Arabidopsis thaliana: one gene and its partner. The protein of the gene in region 1 binds, or shares a complex with, the protein of each later gene. Each region holds a gene or a part of one and is shown on either strand. Other genes may lie near its edges. A codon is read from its position in the direction of its gene.

Region 1 (3,756 bases):
AATGACATTCTTGTATGCGAAAATGATTATTTTCAATTAGTGACTGATATCTTTTGCAAGTCTAAAATAAATATAATATATTTTATTAACAATTCGTGAAAAGTCTTTTTATTTGATGGCAAAATACTACATGGTTGTTCTTTTTTTTTGTTGCAACCATGTAATGATTAATGGTGATATTGTTGGTTGGTTGGTAGTCGAATGTTATATGGTTATTATTTTTTTGGTTGCAACCATGTAGTGATTGATAGTGATACTGTTGGTTTGCTACATGGTTACTCCTTCTTTGGTTCCAACCATGTAGTGGTGGTTGATGGTGATATTGTTTGTTGGTAGTCGAATGCTACATGGTTGCTCCCTCTTTGGTTGCAACCATGTAGTGGTTGATGGTGATATTGTTCAGTCGATCATAAAATATATGATGCATGAAGAATATAAATTATTGAATTGTTTTTCCTTGCTAAAAAGTTAATAAAAAACAATTTATCCTAAATACTCTTATTTTTTTGTAATTATGTTGTTAAAGGGTCTAAATTTTTATATATCCTTTTATCTTATATAAATATATATATATATATATATATATATATTATTTTATTGTTTATATATATGTAAGTAAATGATTGTGTATAAACAAAATTAATACTGAAAAAGACTAATTTTTAAAATTTGTACCAAAATTCCAGTTCTATTGAGCCGGTTTTGGGTGTATATATAATAATATATTATAATATATAATAATATATTATAATATATCGTGTATTAAAATTTAAAGGTTTATTACGAAATTTTAGACTTAAGATTGAATTCTATCATCTAGATTATTAAAGTTAAATAACTTATTATGATCTATTATTTTTATCATTGTAGACACTCTTTTAAGTGGTAAAGTTTAGGTCTAAAATCTATACATGTTATATAACAAAATAAAGAAAACACCAAAATTATTAGGGTTAACGAAAATAATATGTGACGTTACAGAAAAGAAACTTGCGCATTTTTAAAAAAAAAAAGTTGTACAAGGCGAGAAGCCTTAAAAAGCGGCACAGAGACTTCTGTAGATTTTTTCTCACGTGCACTTGCCATGTGTTGAATATTCGACAAATTTTATGGGCTTTACTCTAAGCCCAACTTTTCCTCTTTAGGCCTTTCTGCGCTGTTGCGTCAAAAAGACAAAAACTTAATAGATTTAAGAAAATCAAAATGATTCATTTTAGTTTCGGTATTTATCCTTTTGCATGTCATTGATCAATACGTTTTGAATCATATTTATAAAGATTGAAAACTATAGTATATGAAATCTTTATTAAAGCCAAACCAAAAGCCCCACTTATTTTACGTATTTGTCTCTGTCGAAACGCAGATTTTATCAGACAAGTGGCACCAAACTAACTAAAGAATCAATATTGTATTAGGCAAAAGAAGAAAAAGATAACAAAATTAATCATTTTCTTAGAGTTGGGTAGGTCACTAGAGGCCCAATTATTACTCACTAAGCTAAGGAGGAGTACTTAAGTTAAAAGATGCCACTGCATAGCACTGAGACCCTCCAAATAAAGCGAATAAAAATTAATAAATTGATTAAAAGTATTAATCTTCCACTCTTGTCCCACAAAATGCGACCTAATTTCTTGGAAAAGTTTATTCAATTTCTGAATAACAAATAATTCACAGTTATTCAAATATTTATACAAATAAATTATCAGCTATATTTAAAATCGTTACTAAAAAATATATTTAACCAATCGGTAGTAATCTCGTGGTACAAATATCAATTATCCATTTTCAGATCAAATCATTACTATAACTATTTTAATTTAAAAACTATATATATATATATATATTATATATCAACTTTTTATAATGTGAATCATAAGTCGACTATTAAGTTTTGATATATGATATTGTATGTTTTTTTCTAACAAAATCATAAACAAATCACATCTTATATATATGAGATTCAGATTCTCTATGTTAAAAAATAAAAATTACCGGAATATTCCCCTCAAGCATCTGACGTGTCGGCCGACGATGAAGAATCCAGGTCATCAAAAGGTGTAGTTTAGAAACAGAGGCGCACGATAAGGTCAACTTTTGGAATAGAGGAAAAGACTCAACCTTTTTTATCATCTCTCTCGATTTGTTTTTCTCCCGGTGGTGATGCTTTTGTCGTTTCATCGTTCGTTTACTTCAACTTGCTTATTATTCTACGCTCATGGACTAATCAAAGCCATGAGGAAAAAAAAAAAAGCAACAACACAAAATATATGTATAAAAAAATAAATATCTCTGCTTTTTTTTTTCAATGATGGGTACGCTTCACCTCTAAGTTTTGACCAAAGTTTTTCTTCATTTCTCTCTTCTCTCTTGTGGTCACCGTTTGATCGGAATATTCCTTTTAGAATGCCAAGATTCATTCTTCATCTCTCGAGCTCCTCATGAATTTCTTCTCTGCTTATCAATGGAGGTTGGTTTTTGTTTCTCATGTTATCTTTTCTTGCTTTGTGAAGTCCTTAAATTTTCCAATTTTGGTTTTTAGTTGTTGCAACTTTCTAGTTTCATGGGTATTACTCTATTTGGCTATGTTTCTTCAAAAGGCTCTGTTTTGGAGAGCTGGGTTTTCTAAAGTTTCAACCTTTATTGCTAAAACTGAAACTATAACTACTTGTTTATTGTGTGTGTTAGTAAGCAATGCAATTTTAGAGATATGGACTGGATCTATATATCTATTGAAAGCTGAGCTAGAGAATCTGTTTCTTGAATTCAATAAGCTTGAGTCTGTAAATTGTTGATTTACAGATGATGAGCTCTTCTTCTTCTACTACTCAAGTTGTATCATTCAGAGACATGGGGATGTATGAACCATTTCAACAGTTATCTGGTTGGGAGAGTCCTTTCAAATCAGATATCAACAATATTACTAGTAATCAGAATAACAATCAGAGTTCTTCAACAACACTTGAGGTTGATGCTAGACCAGAAGCAGATGATAACAATAGAGTGAGTTATTGTTTATTCCTGGATCATGCTTTAGAATGATTTATAAGTGTTGTTTGTTTGGTGATTGATGGTTAATTATGTTGCAGGTGAATTATACTTCTGTGTATAATAACTCTCTTGAAGCAGAACCGTCGAGTAATAATGATCAGGACGAAGACCGGATCAATGATAAGGTAAGGCTTTAGCATTTTAAGGCTACTTATACCTTTTGCTTCGAAGACTTCATAAACTCCTCCTTCTCCATTTTAATCTTTAGAGGAAGAGACACGGCGTGATGACATGAATTGTTGTTCCTTCTCTATGAACAGATGAAACGGCGTTTGGCTCAGAACCGAGAAGCTGCTCGCAAAAGTCGTTTGAGAAAGAAGGTAACCTTGGTGGGATTTTTTCTTGTGTTAATGATAAAAAGGAAAGCTTATGCAAAGTTGTGTCTGTGCTTGTAGGCCCATGTTCAACAGTTAGAAGAAAGCCGGTTGAAGTTGTCACAGCTCGAGCAGGAACTTGTAAGAGCTAGGCAGCAGGTTAGCTCAAGCTTGTTTATTTGTTGTGTGTTCATCAAACTTTATCTGATTCATTCTGACTCAGTGATTCTTCTGGTTTGTATTAGGGATTATGCGTACGCAATTCTTCAGATACTAGTTATCTAGGACCAGCTGGGAATATGAACTCAGGTTGGTGTTTATATCACTAAATAAGCATATGTTAGCATTGCTTTATCTCTTAATCCTCAGTAGATAAAGAAGTAATTTTCCCAAT
Region 2 (3,756 bases), about 16 Mb from region 1:
CATTAGTTCACTCAGTTTCCTAATAGAGAGGACATAAATTTAATTCAAACATATAAGAAATAAGACTTGATAGATACCTCTATTTTCAAGATCGAGCAGCGTCATCTTCAATTCATCGGCCGCCACTGCAAAAGAGGGAGGAACATCTCTAGGAATTTGTTCTCGTTTGTCTTCTTGCTCTAGTATTTCTACACATAGTCGGCCTTTGAGAGAATGCTTGCATTGCTCCGGGATATTATTACATTCAACCGCCATAGTGGCTTGTTTTGCGATCATGAGTGCGGTTCTACCTTCCAAAGTTGCTTCTGATGCACTTGCACCTTTTTCCAATAGAGATAGTATCAATTGTGGCTCCTTCCGCATCGCAGCAACATGAAGCACCGTATATCCCCTCGGATTCCTATGGTTGACATCGGCAAGATCAAGTTTTAAAAGATCTGTTGCGGTCTTCACATTGCAATATGCAACAGCGAAATGAAGAGCACACGCATCATCTAGATTGGTGTGATCCTCTTTCAAAAGCAACTTGACTAACTCAATATCATCCGAGTCAAGTGCCTTATGTACATTCGAGACATGTTTCTTTACTTTAGGTACCTCCAAACCAAGCTCTTTACGTCTATCAATTATCTCTTTAACAAGCTCTTCCGGCAATGACTTTTCAAGACTAACCATATCTACATTAGACTTGACAATAATCTCTTTACATCTATCCAATAGCTTCATACAAGCTTTACCACATATATTAGCAAGCTTGAGTATAACCAATGTGTCCTCTATAACAACTTTGTCTACAACGTCCAATAAGTGCCTCTGAAATACAAATACAAGTACTCAAGTAAGAACATATTCATGAATGTGTAACCATAGCTTAATGCAGATGGTGTTTTACCTGATAGAGAGTAATTAATTCAGGGATCTTGAAGATGAAAGCCAAATAGAGAACCTCCAACATGAAATCCACCGCCGGCCGGCAAGCCACGTGGCAGCAATTCTCGTCTGCGCATTCAGAAACTCCTTTAGGCGGCGGTCTCACTCTGCTGCTGTAAACATAAGCCAAAACAGTCACAACCGAATCGAAACCGACTTCGTAATCCTTGGCAATCTCCTTAAGCTCGAGCTTCACGGCGGCGGTGTTGTTGGAGTCTTTCTCCTTCTTAGCGGCGGCTAAAGCGCTCTTGAAGAAAGAGCTTCTCGCTGACAAAACGCACCGGTGGAAAGAAACTTCCCGGCCGTCGGAGAGAACAAGCTTAGCGTCGCTGTAGAAATCATCCGGCGAGTCAAAGACGGATTCGAAGCTGTTGGAGAGCAATTGCAGAGCAGATACATCAGGTCCGGTGAGTACTTGTTCGGCGGCCAGATAAACAATAGAGGAGTCGGTGTTATCGGTAGCGACGAAACTAGTGCTGCTGATTTCATAAGAATCGGCGAATCCATCAATGGTGGTGTCCATCAACAGGTTCCGATGAATTGAAATTCACAAATTAAAGAGATCTCTGCTAATCAACGAAGAGACCTTATCAACTGGATTTGGTTAAAGATCGAAGATAACCATTGACGAGCAGAGCCAAGTCAAGTCAACGAGAGTGGTGGTGAGATATGAAGAAGCATCCTCGTCCCACGGTTTACATTTCACCAAAACCGGTAAATTTCCAGGAAAGGAATCTTTGTCAGAGATCTTTTTTAAAAAGATATAACAGGAAGCTAAACCGGTTCGGGTTATAAATGTTAGTATTTATACCGGAGACATTTTGTGTTGCTAATTTTTGTATATGAGAAGTTCAATCCGGTTCGGTAAGCCCCTGAACCAAACTAGATTTGGAGATGATATAAATATATAAAATTTATTTTTCATCCGGTTCGTTATTTTCATATAAATATATAAATATTATTTTTTAAATTTAAGAATTAGATTTACATGTGAAAGTTACATTTCTGTTTATTTTCTTTGAAGTAAAATGATAAAGGGAACGTATATTAAGTTTCATGCTTTATTCACATAAGTTTTGTAATGTATATTATATTTTTCGTTTATTGAAAAAGTAATTTTCAGTGTTCAGCATGTTTACACTATAATTAAATCAAGTCGAATATTTCCTGGAACTATTCTCCTTGTTCTATAGCAAATGAAAACGCTCTTCACAACAAAATCATTATAGATATAGGAATAAATTACATTAAAAACATGAAAGTCATAATGAATATATTTTTTTAATTAGGATTTGATTTAAAAACAATTATTGTATACATATAAAAGACTTCTTTAGTTATTTGCCTTCAACTTCTCGTTCTGAATCATGCGATAAATCAGCTTTTTCAATAACTACGACGTAAAAGCAAATTCATAACACGTCTAAACAAATTTGGCTCATCCTTCACTTGATTGGTGTTTTCCGGACTCGATGTTGCTGGAAACTGAGAAGAAGAAGGAATCTGCATAATCACCTCTTGGTTCCTCACCGGTAGACTCATTTTGTTGGATCGAAAACGATCGAGATCAGAAAATGAAAAGATAGGTTAAAGATGCCTATGAATACAACAACGTAAGATTATGTTGAATAAACAGAGTACTTTATATAGGAGTTATAATAAGGTAAATAAATTATTGCTTTCCGCGTTTTTTACTTTTGTATTTCTTAAATGATAAGTTAAATTAGGATAAGATTTGTATGATTTTAAGTAAATTTACAATAACTCTCTATAACTCAATAGCATCACATATTTAATTAATTTTACTAATTATCTTTTGAACAATTTTATGAAATAGTTTTCTTTTAATTAATTTTTTAAAATGATATATTATAAAATTTAATTGAATCAATCTGATATAATTTTTTTATCTTCTACCATCTATTATAGTTGATAAATATTGTGATAAACTTTAGATAAACACCCAATTGCCAAATATTTAATAAATTTTGTGTACCATGCGTTTTTTTTGGAGAATATATATACGTGGACAGCATACCGTACATATATTGTATAAAAGCTTATAAAACATAGATACGGGTTATATTGGTAAGCTATAAATATATGTAAACAATAGTAAGATATTACGTGTTGTGTCTAAATATGTGTTGCTTTAGATATTATTGTATATCTAATATATTAAAATATCTTTTATTAACTAATATATTATTTAAGAGAGAAAATTGGGACACTATTTTCTATACAGTAACTGTTTTCAACTATAAACAGGAACCCTTGATATAATAAAATAACTAGCCAAAAAATCAGATTAAATATTCATAAAACAATGTTTGGTATTATTACATAAACCTAAGAAACAAAATTCAATATTCCTTTTTACCTTATAAAAAACAATTAAACATCACTAGATATATTTATGCCCCACAATGAGCGAGCCAATTGAGACTTGAGACTTGAGATCCTTGTCAACTACGTTTGCATTTGTCGGCCCATTTTTTTTATTTTTTTTTTAAAGTGTCGGCCCGTTGCTTCTTCCGTTCAGATCAACCCTCTCGTAATCAGAACAAAACGGAAAACAAACGAAAGAACAATCAGATCCCTCTTTTTTTGCATAAACTAAATTCAACTTCTCTGCGTTTATGTTGTAGAGGCAACCACGATCACTACTACGAAACAATACAACGTCGTTGCTTGGAGTCCACGTAATCAAATCTACTCCAATGCTTTTAATATCTTTCACTTTAACCCACGACTTTTCAAAACTGCTCTTTAAAACCCATAACTCGTGAACATCTTCTTGATCTTTGTTTGTCCACTGACGAATAG

The links.
Region 2: the proteins of TGA3 (region 1) and NPR1 are in contact, whole or in part, in a cryo-EM structure (PDB 7TAC), measured with the Arabidopsis thaliana proteins. Residues at the interface, in NP_564156.1 of Arabidopsis thaliana: His195, Ile196, Asp198, Glu263, Pro264, Thr266, Asp267, Gln268, Gln269, Thr351, Thr352, Arg353, Gln354, Arg357; in NP_176610.1 of Arabidopsis thaliana: Asn269 (codon at 570), Lys272 (codon at 561), Ser276 (codon at 549), Asp277 (codon at 546), Asp278 (codon at 543), Glu280 (codon at 537), Leu281 (codon at 534), Leu284 (codon at 525), Leu285 (codon at 522), Glu288 (codon at 513), His290 (codon at 507), Asn307 (codon at 456).

What each region holds. Positions count from the first base shown.
Region 1 is NC_003070.9:7,787,190-7,790,945, forward strand, and holds the start of TGA3 (transcription factor TGA3), read left to right. Parts: upstream 1-1,943; 5' UTR 1,944-2,461; coding exon 2,462-2,467; intron 2,468-2,799; coding exon 2,800-3,000; intron 3,001-3,086; coding exon 3,087-3,173; intron 3,174-3,308; coding exon 3,309-3,368; intron 3,369-3,443; coding exon 3,444-3,521; intron 3,522-3,607; coding exon 3,608-3,671; intron 3,672-3,756.
Region 2 is NC_003070.9:23,853,955-23,857,710, forward strand, and holds the start of NPR1 (regulatory protein (NPR1)), read right to left. Parts: upstream 1,705-3,756; 5' UTR 1,454-1,704; coding exon 893-1,453; intron 814-892; coding exon 78-813; intron 1-77. Other genes in the region: AT1G64290 (F-box protein-like protein), read right to left, coding at 3,440-3,756. UniProt on the Arabidopsis thaliana protein: Salicylic acid (SA)-binding substrate-specific adapter of an E3 ubiquitin-protein ligase complex (CUL3-RBX1-BTB) which mediates the ubiquitination and subsequent proteasomal degradation of target proteins.